3 linked regions of the Styela clava genome follow. The protein of the gene in region 1 interacts with the protein of each later gene in a pairwise test. Links are inferred from orthologs where the notes say so. Each region holds a gene or a part of one and is shown in the gene's direction. Other genes may lie near its edges. The genes, in order: chaperone Ric-8A-like, prenylated Rab acceptor protein 1-like and syntenin-1-like.

Region 1 (10,341 bases):
TTTTTCATAGGTAATTGTATCGTAAAATAACATAATGCACAACTTCATGTTGAGACAGGAAATTGCCCTTATATTATAAATTTATTAATGCCTGTTCCTACAACTTTTCAAATGGTCAGGGTTACAATACAAAAGCAGGTGCAAAAGGTGGCCAACTGTCTGGTGGGCAGAAACAAAGAATTGCTATTGCGAGAGCTTTATTGAGAAAACCAACTATATTATTACTGGATGAAGCAACATCAGCATTGGATACAGAAAGTGAAAAGGTATTATGTTAAACTATTCAGCATGATGATTTCATCCTTTTAGCATTTCTACCAAACTGGTTACTCCAAATTAATCTAAATATATTTGCGTTGTAATACACATAAAGAGATATTTTAAATGTAAGATGTCAAATTTTTGAATAAAATCTGTTTGCAGTTATTCCCAACTGATAAAGCGCTGCCGTTGTTAGTACCGTATATACTGTAATTTACCTCACTGATATGATTTGTAGTTTTGCGAATGACTGAATATAATATAAGACGTCTTCTTTAATATTTTTTGATATGTTTTACAGATTGTGCAAGAAGCATTAGACAAAGCACGGAAAGGTCGTACAAGTATCATAATAGCACACAGATTGTCAACTGTTAAAAATGCAGACATCATCGCAGTTGTTGACAAGGGCAAAGTTGTCGAAACTGGAACACATGAAGAACTTCTAAAGAAGCGAGGCGCATTCTACAGGTATAATCATAACATAGACGCCTACTTGCTATCAGCATAATAAGCGTGGTTTGAATTTTAATATTGAGGTTCAATATTTCCTTCTTCGTCAATATTAATAATTTTACTGAAGTAAAAAATTTTGCTGATTAGAAATAAAACTTCATTTTGGAATTTGGGGATAGTCAACCATGTATACTTATGATGTTTTTTATTTCATCTTTTTTACATTGTCCAAAGCGAATATTCGAATTTTTTATTTTTTTATCTATTAGTAATTCCATTTTTCATTTATTTATTCACGTGTTATGCTCATTGATTTTCCTAAAGTGTAAATACTAATTAGGGCTGTCCGTATATATTTGAATGTTATTATCAATCTGGGTTTGGGCCAGAACGCCTAATATTCTCTTGTTTCTCAAGTTTCAATGAAAATATTTCTCAATTCTCATTACTTTCCTTCTATGCAGTCCGCATTTGGTTAGGATTTATTATTATTTACTTGTCACCTGAACAGCTAACAGTCATAATTTTTCTTTAGAGGTCGGTCGATCTTGCAGTCTTGTCTGTTCTCTTCCGATTTTATTTCCATTTACTTTTCTTGATGTCTGTGTAGAATTCTTAAAAGACATGATGACGTACATGCCAGCTATCTTTAATGATACTTGAGTAGTATTTGTTTTGCATTTATGCCAGCACTGAATTCTATTTTCAATTAATTTTTTCAGTTTGGTCAATGCCCAGCTCACACATCAGTAGTAGGCAAAAGAAGCAATATTTTCTTCTGTGTTCACAAAAGAAGTCAGAAGATTGGATTACTGACGAATGCGTTCAGAAAACTTGCCATGAGCATTTTTTCCCAAAGTTTTTTATTGAGTTTTTTCTTGTTCTGCACCATCAATTTTTTGTACCAAAGGATCCTTTTTATACACGACAATGAGTGGTTCATACAGTATAAGTGTTTCATTTTACGATGGTGCTCGACTCTCGTTATATAAATATGTTCATTTTTCTTTACAAATACTTAATGTTGAGGTTGTTATGTTTTTAAATAAATGGCTTTAAATAGGTAAATATCTGATTGGGTATACATTTCGTCCTTTTACTGAAACTTTATCAAGGAAAACAATGTTCTCGCAATAATTTCCAATATTTTTGCCTTCAAAATAAGTGTCAAAACTTTTTAACACATAGCACTCAGATATTAGAGCATAGGTTCTCAAAGTGCTCCGTACAAAGCCACAGGGCTTCGTGAGAGAAAACTAGGGGCTCCGCGAGCAATTCGATTATAGATCGGCTAATTTTGTAACAGTCCAAAGAGGCAATAACAACAGTTGAAATGAGATTTGGCAACTGAGCCGTCGAAATATGGCAACAATGCGGAAATTCGAATATATATATCACATTTTCTATAAGCAGGATCGCAGCCAGGATTTTTGAAAGGGAGGGGAAGGCCAAATTTGGGATCGAAAATTTCCACGCAACCTTATTCGCGATTAGGCAACTCGTTGAACAAAGACTTTTCAGCGGATAACGAGTTTTCTGTTGCATAAAATATTCAATCCGTGGCCGATGAGAACGTTTATAATGTCTTGTCATAGTCATTTAATTGTGTCCATCGTAGCTCGCCTTTGAGTTGAGATTTTACTATCACGATAACTGAAATGAAAGATTATTTTTTAAAATAATATCAAATACGTGCTAAACTTCCAACCATAGATTGATAGGAATCGTATTTTTGCGATATTTTGATTCGTCGAATTTGTGTTGTTTTTTCAATCCTCAAGATTATTTTAAGCAAGATATATCGCCATTACTGAAATGAAAGATTATTATTTTAAAATAACATCAAATACGTGCTAAACTTCCAACCATAGATTGATAGGAATCGTATTTTTGCGATATTTTGATTCGTCGAATTTGTGTTGTTTTTTCAATCCTCAAGATTATTTTAAGCAAGATATATCGCCATTTTAAAAATCCCAAAGTCGGCAATTCATGACCGATGATGTCCATTGGCTTAATTGTGTTGGATGTAAGCTGTGGTTGCGTCAACTTAGGACTACATCATATCATTTACTTATTGTTTGTCAAGTTTTTTTTTTACCCTTCTTCCTCCTACCGCTGATTTCGGTCACTCTAACCCCGTGCTGCTTCTCTCCTCTTGGCTGCTCTTTTCGCCAATTTCCTTCCTATTTTTAACTCGTTACATTTTTTGGCCTCGCTGAATCCACCACTCCCACTCGTGTCTCCTATTATCTCGTGATTACTATAATTGGCTTCGCTGGATCGCGCTTCTCTCCTCTTGGCTGTTCTTTTCGCCAATTTCCCATTATTAACTTTTTACTTTCACTCGTCTACTCGCTGATTGTTATTATTGCGCTCCGCTCTGATCGCTTGGCCTTCTGGCTTGATGTATTTTCGCTCATTTTCCGATTTCCATGGCTACGCCTTGATTAATTCACTCTCACTGTCTCTCTCAGTGGTCCCCTTGGTGATTTCTATTTTCGCTCCACCCTCCTGATCCGCTTGGCCTTCTCCACTCACTCACTGGCTTCTATTTCCTTTTCAACTCTGTTCTCGTCTGCCCTCTTTACCCCTCGGCTGTCTGTCATGTCTGCTGGTCCATTCCCTCAACTCAATCTACCGTGTGGGGTTCGAACCAAAGTCGTAATGTTTGATCGTGTTACTACGTTTCCCCTGAGCTACCGCTACCGATGAGGATAGGGTGGATTAGAATCTTAATTAATTAACGACGTCGCGCGTCAGCCTATGACGAGGCTAATTACCCCTCAAAAATTACATTGAACATGCTTCGTTGATTCGAAGCAGGTGTATTCATACCTCTTTTGAAAGCGTTCATTTGGGACTATTGCGTGCGCTGCATCAACTATTGAATGTGTGAATATCCCAGCACAGCAGGTAAGGTACCTAATCAAATCACTTAAATTTTCTATAAATGCAAAAACTTTTATCTTGGCTAGAATATCTTATAAATTAACTTATCCCTAGGCTATATGTGTGCATCTTGATAGATAGATTTTATTTCGATTCATTCGCAAAAACAAAATAAACTTATATATATACATATACACACGGCTGTCCTATTATATTGGTTCCCCTTATTTTCAGGATAAATCAAATATGAATATCTTTCTTTTTCTCAAAAATTTATTCGCTGCTTGATTTAGTGACCGTATGGTCCTTCCAACCTCCTATCAATTCCGTTGTTAGTCGATTTATTCTTCTTTTACTTATTGAATGTTGTTGTTTGTGTTTGATTTGTTGGCTAATGACTGGGTGATGAATAAACTTCTATCTATCCATCTATCTGCTCATTCATTGTCGCTAAGTTGTTTCTGCGATTGCATTCTCGCAAATGTTTGTTTTGCATAACGCCAGTCGCAAAAATATAAGTATAGGGTTAGTATTCGCGCAAGAGTCCGTTTTCGTCTGGACCTTTTTATTTGGTGTGGGAGGAGGCTAGTTACTGAGTTACCGTATGGTGTCGGTACGGGTGCAGCCGGTATATTTAAAATTATCAAAATCTTTTTATTTAGTTGTATACCGTACCGGTACAGTTCTTCAGTACGTGACACACTTTATATATTCAGATTGTAATTACGGTACCGGTATTTTATAAAGGTCAGGCGATTGCCGTTGTTAAATTGAATACCGTACCGGTACCGGTATTGATTTCTAAACAGTGAGCAGCGAAGAAAAAATAATAAGTTTCCCGTATTAAAAAAATATGGCCAAGCTGGTTTTGTATGAAGTCTCCGATTACAGGATTAGTCTACCACATTTTGTGCTTTCAATTGCCGGACTCTGAGAGGTTCTGGTGCTGAGGTAAACGTGGATATATGTAATTTAGTAATCTGTGAGCGTTTAGGATGCCTTAACTTACCGTATAACACTGTCAGAACGCCAGCCCACACTCGTGTGACGCTAGCCCACACTCGTAGGATGCCAGCCCACACTCGTGTGACGCTAGCCCACACTCGTGAGACGCTAGCCCACACTCGTTTTTGACAGGCCATACTAGGGGTAACTGGTCCGTGCTTGGTATTGCATTTGCGCTGTGTATATCCAATATGGTCTCTATATTGTCATAGCCACCAAGTTTTTATGTATTAACGTTTATAAAGTGGTAAAATAGTTGGTTGACCCATTGACGTCAGGCTGAGTGTGGGCTGAGCGAGTGTGGGCTGGGGTAACTTTGGTACCGAAACTGCTTGAATAATCCCAAACAGAATGTGATGTGAAATTTTTTTTTTAAAGTCTGTCTAGGACGGAAATGAAATACTTGACAGATGCGTTTCTGCGTTTAGTTAAAATAAAATCCACTCGATTTTCAACTAAGCCAGTACAGCAGTATATTCCATATCATATACCAGTAGGGTATGGGCAGACTATGTCGTACTGTAAACTGAAATAGAGTACCATATACCAGTAGCGTTCTGACTCAACTTCTGTCCGAGACTACTTTTATTATAAAAAAATAATAAATATTGGACTTTATTTTTTTTACATCATGTTTTTTTTTTTGGTTGGCATTATTTAAAAACTTGCTCCGTGTACTTCGTTAGACTCCACGTGCCCCACACCACATATTTTTATCCCCATTGTTTATAGCGCAATAGTTCTGTACTTGGTATTCAAGAATTTTTCTCTGTCAGATTAAATTCATCCAGCAGTACGGTGCTTATAACTTTTAACATATTGCAGTATTCTGGTATAGAGAGATCAATAGTACTGAACTAGTTTCAATTACTTATTCATGTATTGGGTGGTGAAAAAATCTGATTAACTCATTCTTTACCACCCAGTCATTAATAAAAGATTTTATTTTGAATCACTCATTTGGTCTATTATTTATGTTTTGTGTTTCTGGTTAGTGGTTTAAAGAATAATTAAGTTGTTTATCTCTCACAATAGGTGTATACCTTATGTGTGAAAGGATTATTAAGAAATCCTCCTTTCATAATTATTCAATATACAACTGTTCAGATCATTACTTGTACTAAACTATACTATTACAGTATTAGTGATTTCCTTCATTTAGTGTGAACCACAGTCTGACAATGGAACCTATTAATGGATATCCTAATACTATATTATCTGAGAATGATACTGATAAATCATTAGAAGCATTAAAAAAGTTCAATGCAAAGAATAGTGGCGCTTTCATTTTTGGCAAAAATGACATGCAAGAAAGAAAACTATTTGTCTCACATTTATTGGATATTTTAAAGTCTTCTCTGGATGGTGAAAGCACCTCAGAATCTGAATATGTGGTGGAAAGCCTTTCTGCTCTAGTCGTAATGTCTAGAGATCATATGTCAATGAATGGAAGATTTTTGAATCGAGAAACATGGAAGATATTGACAGTGATTGCTGGATTACTGGATAAAAATGGGAAGGCAATGACGGTCATCGAAACGTCTAAGATACTGTTTACACTTGCTAGTAAATGTCTATGCAATATCATGTTCATTTCAAAAGATTCGCAAGGTTATTGTTGCGACGATGAACTTATAAAAGGCATTTTGCAACGTTTGAAATCTCTGGATCCCAAAGATGAATCAAATGATACTGAAGTTGAATTTTTAACACTTCGATTGCTGTTTCTCGTTTCTGTGCTCAATGTGCAAGCAAGAACAAAGATTATTGAAAACCACGAGGGTAGCCGAGTCTTGTTGGATTATTTGAATTCGAAATTGACATCATCAAAAAGAGTTGTTAAACCTACGCCATGTATCAGAGCTAGTATTTCTCCTGCACATGCAAAATCCTGTTGTGAAATATTAAGAACACTGTTCAATTTGAATCTGAAATATCGGCATGAAGAAAGTCAAGTAAAGGAAGAAAGAATTACTATTGAATTTGAAGATTTGACATCAGTTTGTCGTAAATTGTATTTGGTTCAAGCAGGTGATGACAAAGTTTTGACGGAGAAATTACATGGTGACGCAGGAAATTGTTTATACACTGTGCCCAGGTCTTGTTTACTTGATGATACGATAATTCCTTTAATTGACAAGTATGACCCTGATGATGTGTTTTCATACAATGGCGAAGACATCCCGCAATGGGAGGAAAGAGATCTCAGTGCTGTTTTGAATATTTTAAAAGAAGTTGAATTGAAGATTCACAATAAGTCATTGACAACTGAAAGCTTGCAACCTGTTCTTTCACTGCTGAGCCACATCAGTCGTACATCAAGATATGTCAGAAAATATTGCAAGAATTACGTTATCCCACCACGTAAGGATTTTGAGCATCGTCCTGAAGTTGGACCAGAATTTCGTAATAAATTGATAAAGCTTTTCACACATGCTAACACAGAAGTAAAAGCGGCTGCTGCTGATTTTGTATTTGTCTTGTGCAGAGAGAAGGTGGAGAGACTTGTTAAATACACTGGTTATGGAAATGCTGCGGGATTGCTTGCAAGCAGGGGGTTACTCGCAGGAGGCCAGGGAGACACTGTTTATTCTGATTGTGATTCTGACTCTGACACAGAAGAATATTTAGAAAATGCAGAGAAAATTAACCCCATTACTGGTCACATTCCACCTAATATTCCCAATCCGATGGAAGGTATGTCGGAAGAACAGAAAGAATATCTTGCTGTTCAATTAGCAAATCAGATTTCGAAATTGTCAAGTGATGATATTATCAAACCTGTATGTATCGATCCAGATACTGGTAATCTGGTTCCTTTTCAACAAAAAGTCCACAATATGCAATTACCAGAAGAGAAAGATTCTGATGAAGACATTGATTGAAGATTACAGATTGACATAATATAAGCTTTTGCAGCAAATTTTCTGAACTCATCTTCCTTTAAATAACTAACAAAATATTGCGATAGGAATGGAAGTTCATTATTTGAGAATAATTTGTCTTTATTATTATATCCTGGGTAAAACTTATGTTGTGTGAAATGCAAAACTAACCTCGAATAAAATTTTGGACACTATCTTTTGAGGCTGATATGCCAACCATTGGCACCTTGGAGGCATTCCTGTATCTTAGTCCAGCTTTAACTGTGATAGTTTTGAAGCAAATTGCTATATTTGTAAAAACATATTTCAAGTCTGTACATTTTTTAATGCATATATGTAATTGTGCCCGTCTGTTGCCCGTTTTCTCTTTTGTAATTCTATGTTTAATGAAATTTTATGCTGCATTCACCAAGTTATTTGTTTTGAGGGAATCATGTCTGTTTTAGTAATCGTTTCTTATGAATTTAGTTTTATTATTTGAATAAAAAAATTTTCTCTGACAGTTGTTTCAAAATAATATTCATGTCATTTCTTGCAATATATTAAGTCAATTAATGCGTCACGTATGCTACCAACTTTCCTAGAAAAATGCTTTTTAAGCTATATGGAGTACTAGAATTCTGTGTAGTGCATCGAGTATTTGCATTTTGTTGCGATATTAGATTAAGAACTAAATTCTGACATATCTTACACAATGTTAATTTCTGTATATTAGCCAGCTTCTGCAAAATACAATCATGATATGTATAAGTTGGCAAGATTTTTTGCTATATTTTGTATACAGTTATAACCTATTCTTTTGTAAGGTGTTGTTTGATCATTCGTTTTTGCCTAGTAGAGATTATTGTCCATGGGAGTCATTAAGTTTTTTTTTTTTTTTATGTTTATGTGTTGTATCATTGTTTGAAGTTTCAAATTACTCATTTTACAAATTGCTCAATAGAACAACATGGACAAAGATTACAGTCAAGCTCGCCATCAGTTAAAAAAATAACTTATCGAAGGATGATATTTCACTTTATGGGGTTATTTAAATGTGCAGTCTTTTCGAAATGGCTATATTGTGATGTTATGACTTATTTTCATTATATTCAATATATTCAGATGTTTTGCTGTTTTTCATCAATATTTTCTACATTTATGTATATATAGCTTCCACATGTTCTTCATGTAACGTATCTTTTTTGTATTTTTGTGATATTATAGCAGGATGGAAAAAGTTAATAAAAAAGTACAGCTAGAATTTCAAAGTCACGTTTCTGAATTGCAAAAAAATCAAAAAGCTATTGGCAAGTGTGTGAAACTACGACAACAGCTTGAAGCTCAACTTACAGAGAATACTCTCGTACAAAAAGAGTTGGATATTCTTGAAAGTGATGCCACTGTTTATAAGCTTACAGGTCCTGTATTGGTGAAGCAGGATTTGAATGAAGCAAAAGCGAATGTGAAAAAACGAGTTGATTATATTACAGAGGAATTTAAAAGACAAGAGAAAACAATTGAGGATTTGGAAAAGAAACAAGAGACAACAAGACAAGCATTAATGAAAATTCAAGCTTCGCTTCCAAAGCCAACTGGAAAACAAGTAGCATAGTAAACAGGATAATTTTAAAACTGAAATAAATTTGTAGTGAAATATATCCAATTTGGCTTACAACCACATTTTTTTTTTCAATTATAAATTTTTTGTGTTTGCTGCTAGAAATCTTCAAATTCAATCTATTTGAAGAATGAGGCTGGAAGAATACAGCACAATCTTTGACTTTATCAATTACCACAAATCTAATTGTCCAAGAACAGTTCTCTCTAATGTTATTTCAAACTTTGGGTCTCAATATCAATATCATACACTAATGAGTATATTTTTGACCTGTTTGCAACGAAAAGTGAAAATGACGTACCACTCAAAAATGAAAGAAGAGAAATTGAAATATTATTACAAATTATATAAAGAACGAATGAATATCTCACATCAAATGAATCATAAACAAAATGTAGTGAAAAGTAACAAATTACCCGCACAAAATATAGAACAAACCTCAAGTGAAATTGCAAAATTGTGCAATGGAAAAGAAGCGGTTTCGAATGGCACTGACAGTGGTTCTTCTGATGTAAATGGCAAATCTGTATTGATTGGTATTGCAAATGATTTCGAAATTCCACCTTGTTTAATGGCAAGAATTATTGTAGAGCAATACCTCATTGAAGAAAAAGCTTCTGCTAACAACAAAGAAAATTTTGCTACGGGAACAGTGATTGGTAACAGAAAAAATCAAAATGTTACACAAGAAACTACAGTTGCATCACTCAAAATGGAGAATATAAATAATGAACAAGTGCAGAAAACTGTAGATCTTGCTAGAGTTGATGGAACCAAATATTCACCTTTTCCGGCCTCTCGTATTGGGTTATCAAATAAATCTAAACCAGATGTTAGTTTTCCGCCAATGAGCAATCACCAATCTTCCACACAATCAATGCCTACTAGCAAACCCCCTAGCACAAGCTCTGTTTCACAAACATCGATCAAAAATAAAGTGTCATCTTGGATGAATGATCCTTTTCTTATACCAGATGAGAAGCTTCGTGAACAAGTTTTGCATTGTATAAGTTTTGATGTGTGTTACGGCCCAATTAATGATGCTATCCGACATTCGGTTGGTCTTGAATTTGAGGAAAAACTCGTTCGAAATGTAAAAAGGCACAATCTACCATTTCTGGATGAGAATGATCTAAGAAAACGAGGATATGACAAAACTCCTGATGTAAAACTGGAAGTTCCAATATCAGTAAATGGTTATCCGGTTTGTTGGATAGAAAGCAAAGCATCATTCGGTGACTT
Region 2 (10,225 bases), on another chromosome or scaffold:
AAAAAGTCTGTGGTTTATTCATTTTTTTATTGTAAGGAAAAAACTACAAATAGAAACAAAAAATTCTTTCAAACTCTAATAATTACAATGAAAGTCAGCGCTTTGTAGCAAAAAACAGCATCATCATTCATTGCTACTAAAATCGAAATTTTAACTATAGTGACACAAATGAAACTACTGCTCTGACAATTGTTAATAGATTTGTGGCCCACGTGGAAATGTTTGTGTGGCCCAGCAGTGAACCATGGCCTACTGATTGAAAACCAATGCTCTAGTCTGGACAAAACACCATTGAATACGTAGTTTTCGTAGCTAGGCTACATTGCCAAAACATAACAGAGAAAACAAAGAAATTTCGCCTCATACTTTGTCCTCATTAACGGGCCGATCGCTTCAATCTCCGACTACACTAATAGCCGTTCTATTGTGTCTGAGAGACACCGAGATGTATGGAAACGGACACTATATTCGACGATCATATTTCTTTTAATATAACGTAGTCTTACGTATCGAACTGAAAAGTTTTCGGTCATCCCAAACAACAGTTTTTCCCTGCCTATCTGTGGCTGCTTATATGGGGGAAAGATATATACTGTGGGGCAAATAGTTATAGTAAGCATATGAATTGGGATCTATGATATGTTTTGGGTTGGGATAGATATGAAGCTTTAGGCAGAAGATTACAGTAATAGCATGAAGTGAGATTCATACAATTGGGACTAATGTGGGACACGAATTTTTGAGACACCCGGAACATAGCCTTCATAGAATCATTATTGTTGGAGACCTGGTCTAAAGATTTGTGTTGTCATTTCTTTACGTACGTGGATGGTATTCAAAATTGCAAAGTTCCCATTTGTATCGAACTAACTAACAACAAATTTCCTCATTCCAGGAAGCCACACCAAGCTTATAATTGTACGTAAAATTTACTAACGTGTGCCAATACATAGGCTACATTAACGAGGTACTAATCTAATACATAACTTTCGAAATGTCAAATATAACGCTAGCCGTCATCTGTGATGCACGTAGCCCACTTTTGCCGATAGGGTTGGTAACGTGTCATACATAAACTGCCAAGAATATGCATATACCGCCAACTCATATAGAGCCAACCCAATTATGCATATACTGCCAAGAATATGCATATACCGCCAACTCATATAGAGCCAACCCATTTATACATATGCTACCAAGTCATATGCATATATAGCCAACTCAATATACAAATACAGTTGGTAGTTGGCGCTATATGGATATTTTTGGCTGTATATGTATATCACGTTACCAACCCCACTCTTTTCTGCGGTTGTCTAACATCTAAAACGAAAAAAAAAACGAGAACGAGTTGTTGATTATCTCGTCATCCCAGAATTACACCCCCGAATGCCACCACTAGATATAGTCTTCAATGAGTAAGAATTTTTACTTTTTATAACTAGTTTTTGTGTTGTGTTTTGTCAGTCATTTTTATATAACTACCAACCAACTTATAGGGGAAACTACTTTCTATCCGTAGTTGATTTAGAACTGAAGCGATGTCTCATATAATCGTGAAATTTTCCCGCAAATATGGATGGAAGTTGAAAATTGAATTTGAAACAACTGACGCCGAGGCTTCCTCGTTGATGCAAAGCATCGGATTGGATCAATTTAAACCATCTAAAGAATAGTGTGTAAGTTATTCATATTACATTCTGGGCCTAGGGTTCACCTCAAACATAATGTAATAAATTGGGGAGGCAACAGAATGATACAGAATTTTTTTTTTCACATTCAAAAGGGATTTCGACCATCATCCCTAGCTAAGCCCCTGTCACAAATGAATGTCAGCAAGACTTCAGTTAGTTATTGAAATCGACTTGAGCCTCGAGGTCGAGGGGCTACCCAACACTGGCAGTCCACACCGAACTAGGAAGATTCCGGCCATTCCAAGATATAGTATCTCCATATAAATCCAGCATTGATTTGTTACGGTTGCATGGACTTGATGGAGGAAGTCATAACCCACCAGGTGTTACGTAAACCAGACTACGACGTCGGCGGGTTTAGCAATCCTCCCGTCATTGAGTCTACCCCGTTGGGTTCGAACCCGCGCATGGTAATCAGAGGTCCGTATTCCTAATGCTCAGTACGATACGCCAAGCGCCGGGTAAAATACCAATAACAAAGTATTCAGATGAATAAAATGTAAACACACTGACACAGATTTGCGATAATGTAACGTTGAATTTTTTTTATATATATACGATGCTCATTCATGCCGTTTGCCCAACAAGGCCTTACATACCAAGGATAACAGATTTCTAAAAACTTAATTTTCGACCTTACAAATTTAATTAAATATTGAACCTTGGGTGTCGCTGTTTGATGACTAGTTTTGGTTTCCCACAGTTTCCCTTCCACAGTAAAAATGTGTGTTGAATTTTATTTATTTTTTCCTCAATTTCGTATGTTATTTTTTACTGGTTGGAAAATAATCAAACAGCCACTTATATCTAACGATATACAAGGAACTACCGTGTTTCCCCGAAAATAAGACTGGGTCATATTTCAATTTTCTTCCAACACTAGGGCTTATTTTCAGTGGATGTCCTATATTTTAATTTATCGAAAACAAAATTATAAAGTAGAGAAATACGAGATTATCAAACATACAAAATATGGAAAGCTATACCCATGACACGTTTTTAGTCAAAATAACTGTGAAACATAGATTATCAATCATTTAAAATGTGCAGAAGAGATTTCTTGTTATCGAATGAGTCAAAAAATAATAATTCGCGCTATTGGCTAGGTCTCATTTTAAGGGGAGGGCTTATTTTAAAATCATTTTTAAAATTCAGGCTAGGTCTTATTTTGGGGGAAACACAGTACTTTTGTTTGGAAGGACCAGACCAGGCATTACCTACCAAATTTATAACACGCTATCCGTCGTTGGGGCATGGGATTTGAATCTGAGATCTGTAACCTGCGATACTAACGCAGTTAAGTCTAATTCTCTAAGTGCTTGATCGATTAATATCTGACTTTATTTCAGTATCAATCCACATTGTACAAGTTCTCGAATTTATCTGCCCCATTAATTCTGAGCAAACTTCACAATGGAGGGTACAGAGTTGTGGCCGCATTGACTGGCCCGAAGGAATCCGAAACTTGGACAATGGTTAAAATGTGATCGTAATCTGCAAATTTCGATTAAAAGAAATTATTTGAATGAAGAATAGATTTGCAGAATTTGTTTATGATGGCTTGCGTGTGTTGATTCTGGCGAGGCGGTGGGCTGTGTACGGCAGAAGATTGTGCGAAGGCAGAAGTTGTTTTGCGGCAAACATTTGGCGCTCTGAACTGCTTCAATCGAAAAAGACGCGGTGTTTTGGACATTGTTGGGGACAGACCGGCCATTGGCAACGACAACCTGTGCTCGTTACTCTTGTTAATTGCTATACTTCACAGTTCACAGTCACAAGATGTTACTGTTCATCGTCGAACATCGGTTTCGTGCTGTCGTGTAACTGTAGAGAAGAACAACAACAGAACCAACATAAATGAAAATGACCCCAAAACACCGGAATCCAACCGAAACAACCACAGACGCAAACCCCAGTCCAGCCAACATGACACCAAAAGACAGACCGACAGCGCTCGGGTTGTCACATTAGTATGTTTTAATTGTCGCTTGGCTCTTAGGACAAAATTTACGGTGTTATTTTTTTGTTTTTAGCGTGTATGATATGGTTTCAATCTGTAAGAGCATACCGCCGCGCCAATTTTAATTTTAGATGTTTTATAAACTTAGAAACAGTAAATCAGAGATAAGACGGTCAGTTAGCACAAGAGACAACAATGACCAAGTTGATGAACCGTCTTCAAGTTTTCTCTTATCCTCCATTGACAGTCAGTCCAGTGAAAAATAAATTAAAATGAACCACAAATTAAAAACGAGATAACAGGGGATATTCACACATTCAATAGTTAAGCGCACACGATAGTCCCAGATGAAGCCTTCTATTCAAGCATGAATACACCTGCTTTGAAACAACGCAGTATGTTTAATGTAAATTTTTCGGGATAATTAGCCTCGTCGTGGGCTGCCAAGCGCGATCTGCCAAGATTCTGATCCACCCGATCATCAACAGTAGCGGTGGCATAGGGATAAGATCCAACATCCGGACAAGTATGAAAGTGGGTTCGAACTCCACATGGTAGACTGAGTTGTAGGAATGGAGAAGCAGACAAGACAGGCGTTCGAGGGAAGAACGATAGCCGACGAGCAAGCGAGAGCAGCAGCCAAGAAGAGTAGAAATGGAAAGAACGAAAGCAAATAGGAGCCAGACCAGTCGCTAGCCGCCAAGGAAATATAAGCCGACGATGCCAGCAGCAGGCCATGCAAGTAAGCAGGAAAGCAAGAAGCCCCGTGCAGTCCGATGAGATTAGTTTGTAAAAACGGGGCGATAATGAAAATTAGCGTCGATCACGGCGGAGTGATAAAAGAGATCAGGTTTGACATTGAAAATAAGGAATAATAGAAATCAGAATTTTCTTTTCGTATTTAGTGTAAAACATATCTTTTTTAGTGGTTGGAAAAAACAAACTTGACTTGACAGCAATCCGCAAGGATATAAGCAAATAGAGGATGGGAGTGAATATGGAAAGCAGCGAGGCTCAGGGAAGAAATAAAGGCGGAAAGTAAGTAGTAAAATGCCAAGCCACAAGCAGTAAGAGGGGAAATAAATGAAAAAAACAGCTAAATAGAATGAAAAAAGTTACCAAGCAATTCAGGCGGAATAAATGAAAAATGCAGCAATCCGCTAGTGTTACAATAAAATAAATAAAGGAATTAAGTAAAAATGGAAATCAGTGAGGCCCAAGGAAGAGACAAACAAGATAAATTAAGATGAGAATAGTAAAATCAGCGATTGCCTTTGTCGTCCGTCCATCATGGAATAAAATAAAATAGAAAAATCATTCAGGATAGCTGGAGCAGAAAGCCCATTAGTAGTGGAAATAAAAACCAGCGAGGTTTAGGCCGACCAGTCCGTCCGATAGTCAAATATAAAAACAGTGGATAGACGATGAGGGTTAGTTCATTTCATAGCTTACATTATTAAGGCTTATCACAAATTTAACAAGACGATGCAATACACGATTGCTGTCCAATAAAATCGTTTTTATTTGCGTTCGAATTCTGATTTTAGAGTTGTTGGCTATTCTGAATACTCTGTGTACACCTTTTTATTCGTGTTCATAACAGCTTACTTCTTAGTTACTGGATTTGATACAGGAAACTACAAAATTCTGTACATCATTAATTTTCACTTCCTAACTTGAAATTAGCCGTTTTGTCGGCTTTTTATTTCCTTTGTTAGGATAAACATGAAAGAAATACACTACTGATTGCGCTGGGCCACAAGCTTCGATAGTCCATTGAATCTTTAGCGTCGCCGGGTGGACAGAATGCCTGAGGGTGATATCAACAATAACACGTCAGTACGTGGCGAAGCAAAATTGGTTAACGTTATTTCTCTTTATTACGATAGCCTACTTGCCTAATTTTGTAATTCGAACTGTCATCTTATCTCTAGGAGATATATTTTAGATGTCTACTACAGAAGAGGTAACTGGCAATATTTCTTTGTCCACCAAGTAAGTCAGATTTGGTTTCTATGTCTTGGCTTGACCTGTACCCGTAGTTCTTTGTTTAACGTTGATTCTGCAATTTTTAATGTCGGAATTGGATGCAAGTTCATCTAATACCAGAATATGGTACTGTAATGCAGTAGTACCGTATGAATACAAATTACAGTAATTTATAGAATATAGGCAACCGTAGCCTATATGGAAAATTTGTGGTAATATGGGCTAGTTTTTGTGTTAGCTCGAGACAAAAAAAAATGATATGACTGGAGACTTGAAACATACATGCATGTGATTAGCACACAGATCAGCAGATACTGTAGCCTTCCAGTACCATAACCAGCCATTCCTACAGTAAGAAAATACGTACGTATCATTGCATGAAAAGTAAGAGAATAAAAAAATAAACTAATATTAATTCGCCAATCCAGCAAACGGCCAATAGATTCATCTTAAACATACATTGAATTTTTACAATTTAATGACGAAAAAATTTAATATGCATATTTGTTTTTCAGAATGATTTCGCTCAATAGTCCAGCCGCCAAAGAATGGCTCAACCAGCGTCGACAATCTGTGAGGCCATGGAGTGATTTTGTCAATACAAAAAATTTCAACACACCGAAAGGAGTAAAAGGCTGGTCAGCTCGTGCTGTGAAAAATGTTGAACACTATCAAACCAATTATTTGTTCGTATTCATCGGACTGATAATTTATTGCATGTGAGACGTTTTCTTCTTTCCCGTATATTTATTTATTTTAAGCATAAATCCAAAACTTATACTAAGGATTGTTGCTAATCAGATGTCGGCACGGATCATGCTCCATGTCCAAGTATAAGTTCCAAATTTTTCCATTAATACAAGTTTGCCTTAATTTTTAGAGTCACTTCACCACTTATGCTGATTGCAATTGCAGTTTTCCTTGGCGCCTGCTATCTTATTCATATTAAGAACGAACAGCAGAAAATAAAAGTTTTTGGTGAGTTTTAAACCTTAATAACCCTAGAATACATCTCTATTCTCTCATATCTTGAATGTTTGTAAATATAACATAATTGACTGAAAATCATTTCATTATATATAACTATCATGAGAAATTGCCAATTTGAAATTCATTATGTACTTGTTAAATTGCTGCATTTCGGGAAAAATTCACAGTGCTTAATAAAGAGTTATCCAGGATTAAATGAATATTTCATACATGGAACAGCTAGTGTGAATATAGTCGTTAATTATAAAACCATATTGCGCCATCTACTGAAATAAACAGGTATATTTTTAATAGGAGTCCAATTTGTGTAGTCCAATTGTTTGAAGAAATTCACAAATAACATTGAACACATTTCATAAATATAAAACGGATATTATTCATTGTTATAGGACATGAATTATCATATGCACACCAATACGGAATTGCTGCTGCTTTGTCATTTCCTTTGTTTTTTATTGCTGGAGCTGGATCAGCTGTATTTTGGGTTCTTGGTGAGTTGGTTTGTATTAATTAATATTACTAGGATTGTGAATAATTGTGTTATTCAAAGAGGTTTGAGGCACGACATAAACAAATATAACAACTATCATGACCTATCTAGAATCTCAAGTCTTTTTGTATTAAACTATAAAAGAGCTTATATATCTCAGTCATATCTATGTAATAAAATTATTATCTATAAAATTTGTCATAATGCATAATATGTATTAACGCATCTATTACCAAATTTCAGTAAATAGAGTTCATATAAACCTTAGCCTTGGACGAATAAGGGCAATCTCGTAGTGTGTGTACCAGGTTAGGGTTAGAGCATAATTTTATTCCGATTTTCCCTATTTTAGTTTTATTACGAGTTTGGGGACTGTCTGTGTTAGCCATGTTAATATACCCCCTGCCCATCAACTTCCGTCCCCTTACGCAACTTGATGTGAAGTGGGCGAACAAAATTAGTTACCTCCATATTGGTACACATGCTTCTGGAGCGCCCAAATAAGTTTTAGCCATGCTATAGCAATTTTGAATAATATACATTTTCCCATGAATTCGGACCCTCTGAAGTGATAACTGATTTTTCATTTTCATTTCTCAGGGGTTTCATTTTTTCTTGTCGCACTTCATGCCTCTTTTCATATTTCACCGGAAGAAGCTGCGAAGCCAGAAGAACCTTTTATGGAAACTGTGTAAAATGATCTGTGAAATTTACCATGCTTTTAATGTTATTTAAAACTTTTGAGATAAATTAGTTTTATTATTATCTCTGTATTATTTATAAATTTGTTAGTTAATTTCACATCAGGAAAAATCTGTGTTACACAAAATGTATTTGAGCCTTATGAAGCATTTTTTACAGTGGCTTTTGTCATTGATTGTATTCCTATAGAAATTTACTGATACCAGTTTCTGACCATGTTTTCTTATTTGTGATAACTTTATTTATTGAATGCTGTCGGATTGCATTTCTTCTGTGTAGCCAGGTTAAACTACAAACTTGGAGCTGTTAAAAATGAATCTAGCTCCAGGTTGAAGAAAGTTTGACTTTTGACCTCGAAAATTGGCGGCGTATGTAACCTTCAATCTGCCAAATGCTTAGTCTTATGTTTTTCTCTGTCAGGAATTTTGACTTGCTCACATATCTAAAATTACGGTCCCCAAGAATTTGGAATTTTTAGATTGTCTCTAGCTCAGGAGGGTTGGAAATAAGACTCCGTTTTCGTCATATTAATAAAAAGATGCCAAATACGACTGCTCTGCCCTGGAATCTACAAAACTAGTAAGTACATAGCGTTCAAATTTTATTGAATATTGGAGCCCAATCTTGCTTGTACCTTATTCCCATGAAGATGAAATAGAAGTAAATCGTGCAATAGGGTGCAAATCAAATGACTACTAGTAATATGTAAATATGACTAATGTAATATTTTCATATGGTGAGCAATAGAATGTCGTTGGGGTGATGTTTCAAATATTACATTGTAAATTCTCATTTGACGGAATAAATGGTGCTTTATGTATTTACCGGACTGTTGCTAATACAAGGTAATCTCTGGGAGGTGTTGCATACAGGCATGGAACAGCAGGTTGTGATCTGGAGTCTAGACCGAGGTAATAATCTCAGTGAAGAAGCACATATATGCATGGGACAGCATGACAAATGCTTTAATGTAAATGAGTTGAGGCCATTCATTAGAGACACTTCCAGTAATATGACACCGAATATAGTTATTCGAGCACACACATATAGTGTTGAAGAAAGCCTTGGTCAACTCACATCGCGGAGGCTCAGGATATCTGATTGAAAAATTTGTTCACAGGACTATTAGAAAAACAAATGTACAGTTAGGCTTGTATTAATATTTCTGGGTGATAATTGAATTCCAACTATATTCAACACATTTGCCAAATTTATAATCTAGAGCTGATATAATATTGTTTGTAGAGGTGAATATTTCAGGTGGTCATTGAAAGTAATAAAAACGCAAAACATTTAGGGCCGCGAACCCATTAGTGAATCTTATTTCTGACGGACCTAGAGTTTCGACCTGTATTTTGTCATCATATTGGTAAGAGCTAAAAATGCTGCCTCACACATGTATGCCGTTGCAACTGGCAATACAATTATTATTCCCTTTTCTGACAGCAATGTATACCGGTATTCGTCCTCAACGCTCAACCAAAAAGATGCAGTGGCTTTTTGATTGAAATCAATCGTTAAAGATCGATCCGACTCTTTTCATATTGTTGCTGACCCCCAATGGTTCGTGGACCCAAGTTAGGGAAATCCTGATATAAACGACATCTGATAACTTTCTACTAAACTCGTGTTCCATGTCAAACTATAGTTTGCAATTGGTAACTTTGCTCACACAGCATTATCCTGTCATGTTGATATCCTGCCTTAAATCAATAACACCTTCAAGATGTCTTGTTATATCATCCATTTATCTCATGAACTTGGATATTTTATATAATAAAATAATAATATTAAATAGTTTCATGGTAATTTACAGTGAAATATAATAGGATGTAATTCAATCTGAGCAGTACATAACAAAAAAAGAATTCACCATATTTTAAATGTTATAATTCATTCCAGACAACATAATTTAATTGGATTTATATTTATAATTCTTCCCAAATCTCTTAAGGTATTTTAGTATTTTTGTTATAGCCAATGATGTTTAAAATTTCAACCAATATGAACTATTATTTTAAATATATTTGACATTCAAGGAATAATTTAGAACAAATTCATTTAAAAAACTATCAATTTGAGCAATTTAAGTCTCACAACATTAACAAATGAACTTCCATTTAAGTTTTTAAGTTGAGCAAAAAATTAAATCACCCCAAGTCACTATCTAAACCTTCCTGCATTTCTACCAATACCGACTTGTTTCAATCAGACTATTTTCTACAAAATTGGCAACAATTTAAAAGATGACATACTAGCACAGGAACGTATTCGAACCCATATATACCGTTAACCAACTGGTCAATTTATAAACGCTTTCAACCAGGGCTGAGTCTGAATTTAGCATGTTTTCAAACTTCACAAAGTCGAGTTGAAATTCTGGAAGTGAAAATTGCCGAC
Region 3 (10,624 bases), on another chromosome or scaffold:
TTTTGTATTCTGAAATGATAGTTTTGAATTACGTAAAATCCAATGTATATTTAATTATATGAATTTGGAAAAGTAAAACAGTAGAGTATTCTTAGTTTTCAGATATTAACTCTTTTGTCTTCGATTGTGATTGCATGTCGAACAACTTTGCTCTACTCTAAAATCATGTGATACTAGTTTTGCCTGCATGTAAAAAGAAATGACTAGAATAAAAGTATCCTCACACTATACGAATAATACAGAATATACACACAAATTAAAAATAATTTTCATTTAACAGCTGATACTACATAAATTTAGGACAGTTCACATACAAATAATATGGCATTTAAATAGTGACAAACTCACAAATTTGCTCTTCCAATAGAGCTGATGAAATTGATCATCATCATGGCACTCAGACAGTTTACTTGACTTGAAACAGCTGTAGAAATAAATGAAAAATCAGAAAACAATGTTACATTAAAGAAATAGTTATGATAGCATGAACCATTGCATTCATAATAATAAGTTATTGGCAATATATAGTTATCAATATACTCATTCCTGCATTTGGTGAAATTCATGGGCATGGTACTACAATATTCTAGTTTCATTTTATATAGCAAGAGTCAGAATCATTAATACCATAAATATCGTACATATGTGCATACAGCATACCAATAACATGCAATATGATTTTACATTGGTGTATATCAAAATATCCACCCAACCTGCTATCTATTCGCTTCTCGCCTATTTTTTTTATCCAACTTCGGGAACTTGCAGACTTGTGAATTAGCCGATGACAAGATACATACACCGGGGTACAGTGCAGTAGTGATACATGGATATCGTAGGTAAATCTCAGTTCAGCTCATACACAAAATATAACCAAGAGGAATATTTTGGGCACTGGTAGATCTAAATATCTGAAAATATATCATTTTTGTTAAAACATTTTGAAGTTTATATTACTGAATTAGGACTAGGAGTATCTGTTCGACGGTACCACTGCGCAACTGCTTACCAACGAAACTATACTAAAATACTGGGCCCTATGTCTGTTTATGACAAGAACCAATATAGCAATATACTACTGGTACAACTGTAGTCTACAATCTAAGCTAAAATAAAACTTCACAAAAACTGCTAAGAAAATCAAAAAAACGCAAATACAGAAATATATCAATACGCCAGGTACCGTATGTATTTACCTTACTAGCCCAATTCCCCGTTGTGAATACTTTTGTTCGGGCGTAGTACGGTAGGTACCGGTACAGCACAGGTACCACCGCAAATGCTACATATCGCAGCCTCGTGGTACAGGTATACAATTATTTATTCGTCGTGACGCTTGTACAGAGCTCCCTGCTACTCCATTTGTCGCCCCAGAATATAATATAGATTGTACGGTAAGCGATAACATCCAACACGACAAGCGCCGCAATCCAAATGCACTCGACAAACCGAGTTAAACCACCTCCAGACCAGGTTTAAAAAATCGCCGATTTTAAGTCGAGATTTACGTCACAGAAAGTTAAACCACCTTTTTGATCCGGACTTAAACCGCCGATCCAAAGTTAAACTCCGATTCGAGGTTAAACTACCTTTTTGATCCCCACCCTTAGAGTTGATGAGCTAAAGGAGAGCACTTGAATTTGATCTCACAATAGATGATTTTGATTGGCTCAATATTTCACCTTTTCGGCGCAGGCAGTGTTTTTTAATGTTCAGTATAAAATTGGGTAAATTTAGCGTGTTTTGCTCATTGTAAGATGGAATTTGGGTAACGCAGATCTAGAGCAGGAACGTACCCCCTGGGTGCGGATCGGATCCCCCGCCCACTTTAAAATATAAAAAAAGCATTTTTATGTATTACAGCAATTTTCGTAGCATGAAACGCTCATTTGACCGTCAAGAGTATAGAGACTCTTGAAAAAACACGTTTCACCTCAGAAAATTCCTGATTACGCCTCCGACCTAGGGTCTGAAGAGTTTTTTTAGAATTTCAAATATTGATTACAAAATCAAAAAAAATTATTTTTTGAAGACGACGCTTACTCGCGCCTTTTGCTCGAAGCAAAGCCAGATACAAGCATGAAGGAGCTGTCCACAAACTTAATGCACTGTTGAAGTTACACGAGCGCACAATTTCCACTTGGATGGTTTATTTGGAGCAAGAGTTGATAGCGTTCCAAAAACCACGAAATGTAACTGAGACGACGGGCGCACTGATGGCGGGATCTCCACCCTTTATAGTAAAATTCATGGATGTTCATATTTCCTAAAAAAACATACATACAAACCAATAATAGAAATAAACATTTAATTCTTGCTATAAAACAAATTTAAGGTAATGGGGATGCTTTTGTTGTTTTACTTTTACCATCAAGAAAGGCAAATTAGCCAATCACATTATACTCTTCCAGAAAAAGACTTTTCTAGCCTTTTTACCAGCAAAATCATTTTTAAATATTATCAAAGGCAATCGCTTTCAAAATCTCGCTTTCTATAGAAAGCATTCACAAACTGTTTTTTGTGAGACCGCAGACCGCAAGTGTTTAACTTTATTAAAAAACAGTACAAAAAATATTAATCTGAATTTCTGAAATAAAGCAGAACAGAAGAATTTAATTACTAATGGTGACATAACGAAAATTTATTAAATTTACCATGCACAACAAATTAATATTAATACCTTAGTAATGCCTTATATAATATTGCTCAGACGATCACAGTAACTTAGGCTTACTCGTCCGAACTACTTTAATAAGGTATATTGGGAACATAATTAAAATTCGCCGTATCGAACGACAATTCATGGCCATAACGGCAGATCGGACACAAAAGTTTCCCAGTAACCGTTGGTCGACGGAAATTCCAGCCGTTTCGGTTCAAATGATTACGAATTAAGTATGGGATCGTCTAAGCCCTGATTATGGCATAATACCGTTGAAAATCACGGGTTGCTCTGAAGGTTTTGTGCGTTTATTTTAAGCATGTGTAGTCGACTTCAATGTTCGTGTTTGTGCCGTGCTAATATCTTCTTATATTTATCTGTATGATATTTCCCAGGCCCGGGGTTTTAAACGGGCCTGGACTGCGAAAACCCGCGAAGTGTGAGATCAAATAGTTTTAGATCTCTTCTCGTCGGGAAAGGCTGGACGTCGAGTGATTTTGAGTTGTGTTTGCTGTCATTATTGCTGTTTTAAGTATATAGTTGCCGTACAATAAACAACCAACTGAAATCTTGAAACTTTCGACTCATTTACACACAAAACTTAAACTGTGACACATGGTTGGAATAATCCGTATTAGTTGTGAGCAGGTTCAACTGAGGTTTTTTGAATGAGGCGAAAATGTTATACGGGTGTCAATGAAGTCCCTTTACAATTTCAATTTTGTTCTGGAGTCAGTTCTCAATATATATATTTTACCCAGGCATGTTGTTTTTTAATCAGCAATTGTTTGAGTATTTTTACTTCATTTAATTAATACATCTGTGAAGATCATATATGGCATCGATAAATTCCCTTTGTGATTTAAAAAAAAAGACATCCTATATATTGAAAACAACTTTTGCTCGGTGCTATATGATAGTTTATTTATGTCTGTTTTTTTTTTTTCAATTTATTTATTTTTATGTATTTCATTTTTGCGATAGTTTATACACGACATAAGTATTTAAACGTGTTTCGATTAGTATATAAGGACATCTGGAACAACTTACGGGTTATCTGTCCCATGGCCATGTCCGACACATGATATTTAGATCCGTCGTATGGGCTTTACGATACTATCATGTCACTGCTCCGCGACTAATTTAATCATCCATTTTGATTGATTTCGTTATTTTAAGTCAGGTTTGGATGGCTGAATAGGTTATTGGCCCACTTTCTAATCGATCCCAAGCAGTAGTGGGATTCAAATTTTTCGTCAGCCGGTTCCATCACAAAAGTCATATTTTTCAGCCGGTTCCGTTACAAAAAGTCACATTTTTTAGCAAATAAACCAGTAATGCTAACCGGTTCGCTGATCTCATTAAATTCAGTGAGACGGTTCTATAGAACGGATGCGAACCGGCTGAACCACGGATCCCGAATAAATAGCCTATTTGTCTCATACAAATGAAATCAGAAGCAAGGCAAACAGATCAGAATATGAGCAGTGGAGCAAAAACAGTGCCGTCTTTGTCGAACTCGGGGTATGAAATCTTCATCAAGACAAGTGGTTCTCAAACTTTTTGCGCTTCAATTTTAGAATTTGTCAAGTCTCGCACCCCACCTCAGATACAAATACCAGATAGTAAGGCGAAAGTATGTTTTATTCAAAATCAATCAATTTTATTTGGTCACTCTGGTTTAAACAAAACACAAAACAACAACAAACGGACAATATGCCCCTGGAGGACGGGCATATTAACAAAAAAACACATTGAAACTACTTGGGTGGAAAGTAAATATCCAAAATAAAGTAGGCAAGATCAAATCAAATTTGGGTATTTTTAAATAAGTTTTGCGCCCTCTAAAAAAAATTGCCTACGTGCCCTCTGTGTGTGGGACGCTTCACCATTTGAGAACCACTCGTCAAGAAAAAGCAAACCGGCCTACTCGCTGATTAACACGGGCAACCAGGAACAAATCATAGCGAGTGACGTACATTGTCCCGTGAAAAAAAATCACGTGCTCTCGCTACGCCTGGTCACGAGAACATGACGTCATACGAGACAGAAAAGAAACAAAAATCTCGAATGAACGCATTTTAAAGATTTTGTGTCGCGGCTTCTGTTGCGTTTTATATGCCATGTTATTTGGGTTTTATCAATTCATTTTTGGGGGAACAAAGATAATGAAATGGCATATAGTTGAATAGGAAATATGACAAGCAATGGCTTCTCGTTGAGTTGCCAATTTTAGTTCGTTCGTAGCAGTTGGAATAGCTTTTTACTCTATTCTGCTAGTTCTGTAGTTAGCAATTCCAGACTTCAGAGAGTTGCCATTCGTTTCCATACCTACTAGTACTAAATACTCCATTGAATACACAGTCAGATAGTGGTACAGTAGGAATACTGTCATAGGACTTACGGAGTTAAGATAAGCCGCAAGGGAATTTCATACGGCCATATTTTCATTTAACATTTAATTTGCATTCTTAATCACATCTGCATACAGACATATGGTTGTATGGTACCGGTATGGTACGGGAAATTTCAGAGTATTATTACGGTACATCAGTACATGCTTCCGTTTTATTAATGCTAAGTTGGCCGTTGCTATATGGGGGACAATACCGTACCGTACCGTATGTTTTGTATCAGCGAATACAGCAGTCTGGCAATAGGTTGCTGCCAATGAATTTCTTCATTTTTTTTCATGATTCTGTGATTATAGATAATTTGCTGCTAGTGGTTATTTGTACCTTATGTAGTTCTGTGGTTTGTTTTCGCTGGTTGAATTTTAATTTTTTCATATAATCTATCCAAACTGAACTGCCAAATTTTTTTTGTATGACGACTTAATACGACACTTTGCCCGTGCGGCGCCAATTATCAGGGAAAAAACTCTTGACGAAATTATGTGAAAAAAAATGATGCTCTGCGATATCTATATAAATGCTTCATTTAATCAGTTTTATTACTATTCACAGAAAATACTATTTATAATTTTTACATATTTTTTCTGAATAAAGAAGCGAAAACAAAATGTCTCTCTATCCCTCACTTGAAGATATGAAAGTGGACCAAGCCATCAGGGTAAGAAGTTTAATAATTTTTCATTAATTAAGCTTTTTTTATTAAGATTTGTTTCGGGGTTGTTTGTTTATTGAACTGTCTATCCTTCATCACGCATTTCTTACCTGCAATACTTCTAGTGGGTGTAGCATAACAATTTTCGCATATGTCAATCCTAACCCCCACCTGACTGCGTCATCCAAAAAGTACTCCACTATGACTTCACAGTGACGTAGTAACGCCCTTCAAACTAAAAGAACTGTCATCCAAGATGCGCAGACGACCACCCAATCGATCAAGTTATTTTTTTCGTTGCAACCATCCCTAGATGAAGGAGGTCGCTGTCGTTAGTGAGTTCTTTATCATCAACGCAAATGCCATTTCGGGCGATCATAGGTATACTTTGGCAAGCTCTATGACGGTATTGTGATGTCATAGTCCAGTCTGGATTTCATGGCCTTTTTGAACGAGAAATTGGGCATGTAATCAGAAATTCCTGGAGTGCAATTATAGCTCACGGTGTGCAAAACACGTCTTACATTCATTAGTCGTTTTATTCCTTTATCTGTGGACAAGCATATAAGTAGCGATTTTAATGTGCCTGGCAAGATTAGGATTTTTCTAATTCAGCCTTGTTTTTAATTTTATTACTCTGATGTACATGGAAAGCATTGGTTACCATGGCTTACTTAAAAGCAACGTTTTATTTAACTTTTTTCTTTTCCTTCAACTTATAACCAAAGTAAATATTTACTAGGTAGCCTTAGCACTTCCTTGTTAGGTTGCTATTGTTCTAGACATTCAAATAGTCAAATACATTTACATAGTCAGTTATTGATTTGAGAATTTTGGATATTCACGTATAAGTTTTCTTTGAAAATGTAGGTACTATTAAAAGTCATTGACATGTGATGATTATGCAAAACAATTGATTTCCCATGCTATGAAAATAGAGGATCAATCAAAACAATGCATAATGCATTAATAAACTTTTTTTTGCATCATTGAAATGGATTACAATTTTTATTTAAACAAATATATATATATGCACACTGTATATACTCGCCGATAGGTTCGCGCTATTAGTTTTGTGTTCAAAAAGTTTAATTTAGAGTTGACTCGCACATAAGTCGCACTCAAAATCTGCGGATTTAAAAGGCCCCTTCCCTAGCTTTTTTGCATAGATAACTTCCTATTTTATTTTATTTTTGTAGGGCTTAATATAATTAAAATATGTTTATCGACGCCTGTGAGCGATAATGAGTGCATGTACGCAAGCGCAGACGATACTTGGTGGCGATTTGCATTTATGTCGAGCGGATTGGTCGCACGTATATTTTTTAAAGAAATATACGGAAAAAATTGCGGCCTATCTGCGAGTATGTACGGTATATAATAAATAATATATAGACTCTCAGATTTGAATGTAAACTTGCGGGTTCACGGTTGAAGGTTGAAAGGCCTAAAGGTTCAAGCATTGAACTATAATGCCTGGTATCGCATGTTAAAAACTATGTTTTGAAGCGTCATACAAAAAACGAAATTAAATTTTGGCAATATGTAGTTTTGGCAAGAGATATTGACAAGACCTTGAAATGTCTATCAAATTTTCCTGTGTGAACAGCTGTTTGTTTTTCTACTCAAGAACAATATGAATAAATGTTTCATTTGTGTCTCGTTTCTTGAGTTTTTTAAAGTGATGTCTAATTCCAATGATTGATTTGCTATAAAAGATATTATAACCTCATTGATTGATATGCACATTCATGATGTAATAACAGCAAATTAATTGACACAATGACGAAACAATAGACCACCGACAAAGATCAGTTCATGTAACTTGAATCAAAATACAGTAGTGAATGAGAGCTTTGCAGTTGACTAGTAGAATTATTTAAGATCTGATAGATTTGATTAGTGTAGCAGTAGCCTACTGGTTTAATTTTCGGACAGCAAATTCTTTCTAGTGCAAAATATGATAAGACACGGGTCACACATTTTGTTTATTACTCTTCCTTCCTTGTTATCTTATTATTATATTTCCCTGATGCCTTTATTTATGGGTTCATATCGATGACTATGGCCCTATTATTTTCTTGCATGAAGTTTTGGTGAATTAGTGATACAGTGGGATTGTCTGTCATATATTTGCTTTGCTTTGAGATGTCAACCAATAACTGACATGTGACAAATCTATATAGATAGACCTCTGATGCGCCAGTGACTCGTATCAATTCCACGCACACCCACTCAAAAGTAGACTCATCTCTGAGCAATGTTATGGCAACTGCTGAAATTCCAAAGAACTTCTAAAATTATATAGAAATATGGTGGTGTGTTACGCTTCAGCGAATACCGCTTGGCACAATACTTGAAGTAGTTCAGGTCAATTAGATCTGAAAAATGGTTATGAGAAAGTTTTTTCATTTGAATTATTCAAATTTTATCAAAAAAAAAATTTCAATGTTTCTTCTATTCAGGCGCAGTCTCAACATAGAGATGATCACATGCTGGCATTGAATATGCAACAACAAGAAATGGCCGCGGCAGGAATCCCACCTCAGCAAGCAGGTTTGTTTAACAACAAATTGTCTCTGAGCAAAGTTAAGGTCAATCACTCAGTAGCAGTGTTAACTCTAAGCGAATTATGAGTGCGAAAGTGCTTCGCAGTCGAAAAAAAAAGTGCGAAAGTGCTTTTGCCGATTTTAACAAGTTAGGTGCCCTAGCCTTTTATATAACCCATTTAAAACAGCATAGATACTCGAAAAAGCTCTCCTCTGGTTAATATTATGAATTAAAGAGAAGCCTTTCCGTTAACCGAGTTCCCTTTAAGCGAATTCATGTTTAATTAAAACAAGCAAATTTATCGGCAACGAAAGGGCATCTGCTAACACCTGCCGCGGACAAAACTTTCATGCAATGTATCACGGTGTCAGTTGTTTACTTGCGTGAACAGCAAAGGCTTTCACATTTGTTACTCCTTCCATCTAACAGACAACGATTGATACATGCAGGATGGAAACCATATTAGTTACAGGGTGGATCATTTGTACAAAACCTGTGCAAAATAATTCCCCCCCCCCCCCCCAATATAAATAGCAATCAACTAATTACGGTTAGGTGCCCTGGAAATTCAACTTTTCGATTTATCCCTAAACCTAATCTGATAATTATTAATTTGTGATTTTGAACCACTTTGAAAGTCGCCACCCGCTGTTGTAAGAGATAGGTTAACCTACGTTCCCTACGAAATATTACGCAGGATACTCCCCTTTTAGGAGATAGGTTGACCTACTCTCCTTTCAAACTTTTTTCTTCGAAATATTACACAAGATCACTTTGAAAATCCTCTCGTTTCGTGAGCTAGCGTGACCTAGTTTCTCATTTACATTTATATTATACTATTTCAGAGCTTACCAAAAGACCAGTAATTCTTTAATGTCGACATGCCTTGGTTTGCGTGCGATTTCGGGCAGAAAACATCATATATTGGCAAAATGTTTAGTAATGCCATGTACTTTCAGCATTCATAAATAGCACTCTTTGTAATGCTGCTGACCTAGTATCAAATATTCGCATCACAACGCCACTTGCGAGGTTTCCATATATTCCAATTACACTAATAGGAACGATGACACCAAAGAGTTTTCTTTTGCGAGATACACGAAATATAACGAGGGTGATTCTTGAAAAAAACATGGATATAGAAAATAAAGGAATGATATGATAGTGGATCCCAAATAATTTTGAGAGCGTCTCGAAATACCAATCCATTTAATAAATAATTTTTATTCAACCACATGAACGCTGATATTCTGAAAATTAATGTTGAAAGAGAAGTACGCATTCTCAGATATCGGACATCCAGTCGCGATATTCAATCGTTTATATGCACAAATCTCACATTAATAGTAATTGCTACCCAAGTTTGTAAAGTTTAGAAACCAACAAACAGAAAATAACTTACGGTATTCTAAAACACAATTAAAAATCAGTTGGCAATAAATTGCGCCGAGATGATGCCATACAAAACGAAAAAGGTTTGGTCGCGAGAGTTACGTTAGATGACTGCAAAACGACGTTGTTTTTTAAACAGAATGTAAAACAATCAAATAAAAAAACGGGGGTTACGACGCCCTTAACACATCGTCTGTATTAAACTTCCCTGGTAAGTACTTTGGTAAGTACTATTATTATTGTACTTATACACCTGTTGGAGTATTTCGGACAGTTTCGAATTTAAAATAAATGAAAACCCGACATACAAAAAAGACGCAAAAGTAAAATTAACATTTATTGAAAAAGTTATTATTTAAGAAAGACAACATGATCGTACAATTCCGCCAAAACCTGGATGTTCGCAAGTGAGATGATAAACTTACCTGTATTCGATCAATTAACTTTAGCGTATCGTTGTTCTGCCAACAAACAGCGGGGTGCAAAATATTTCCGTCCTGTGAAAGGCTCACAAATATTCTCGATATTAATATCATACCCTCGCGTATGTACTTTCTATTAGCTCTTTAGTGATCCCTTTCATCCTTGGCCAAGTCATGTTTCGAATATGTGAACATTTTATTCGACCATACATGGCCGGCGGGATGTTAAAATTGTAAACAAGAGAGAGGTAAAATCAATCGCGAATTTCGTTATAACGGCTCGTTTACGAATTGTTGCGCTTGTTATTGTCGAAAATGATTACATTTGTTGTATTTTGAGGCATTTAAGCAGTAATAATTGGGGCATGACATCATCAAAATCGTCAAGTGAGATCTTGAAATTGCAAATTCCGTGAATAAAATTGTGAATTACTCGGTAACAAATTCAGCTTTAATGACCGTCGGGGTATTGTTTTATTGAAAATTATTATTAATGTGAGAGCGCCAAAAAGATACAGTCCATACCGATGCG

Evidence for each region.
Region 2: the proteins of chaperone Ric-8A-like (region 1) and prenylated Rab acceptor protein 1-like interact in binary tests that used the Homo sapiens proteins (3 or more experiments, as listed by UniProt). The link is inferred for Styela clava from reciprocal best matches to the Homo sapiens genes RIC8A and RABAC1.
Region 3: the proteins of chaperone Ric-8A-like (region 1) and syntenin-1-like interact in binary tests that used the Homo sapiens proteins (3 or more experiments, as listed by UniProt). The link is inferred for Styela clava from reciprocal best matches to the Homo sapiens genes RIC8A and SDCBP.

The regions. Positions count from the first base shown.
Region 1 is NC_135252.1:15,382,718-15,393,058, reverse strand, and holds chaperone Ric-8A-like, read left to right. Parts: upstream 1-5,714; 5' UTR 5,715-5,795; coding exon 5,796-7,499; 3' UTR 7,500-8,705; downstream 8,706-10,341. Other genes in the region: ATP-dependent translocase ABCB1-like, read left to right, coding at 120-266, 563-732, 1,440-1,470; uncharacterized protein LOC144421013, read left to right, coding at 8,710-9,093; uncharacterized protein LOC120343245, read left to right, coding at 9,230-10,341.
Region 2 is NC_135253.1:18,935,403-18,945,627, reverse strand, and holds prenylated Rab acceptor protein 1-like, read left to right. Parts: upstream 1-5,458; 5' UTR 5,459-5,602; coding exon 5,603-5,649; intron 5,650-6,158; coding exon 6,159-6,362; intron 6,363-6,523; coding exon 6,524-6,621; intron 6,622-7,022; coding exon 7,023-7,124; intron 7,125-7,723; coding exon 7,724-7,818; 3' UTR 7,819-8,645; downstream 8,646-10,225. UniProt on the Homo sapiens protein: General Rab protein regulator required for vesicle formation from the Golgi complex. May control vesicle docking and fusion by mediating the action of Rab GTPases to the SNARE complexes.
Region 3 is NC_135263.1:830,702-841,325, forward strand, and holds the start of syntenin-1-like, read left to right. Parts: upstream 1-5,593; 5' UTR 5,594-5,683; coding exon 5,684-5,734; intron 5,735-8,193; coding exon 8,194-8,284; intron 8,285-10,624. UniProt on the Homo sapiens protein: Multifunctional adapter protein involved in diverse array of functions including trafficking of transmembrane proteins, neuro and immunomodulation, exosome biogenesis, and tumorigenesis.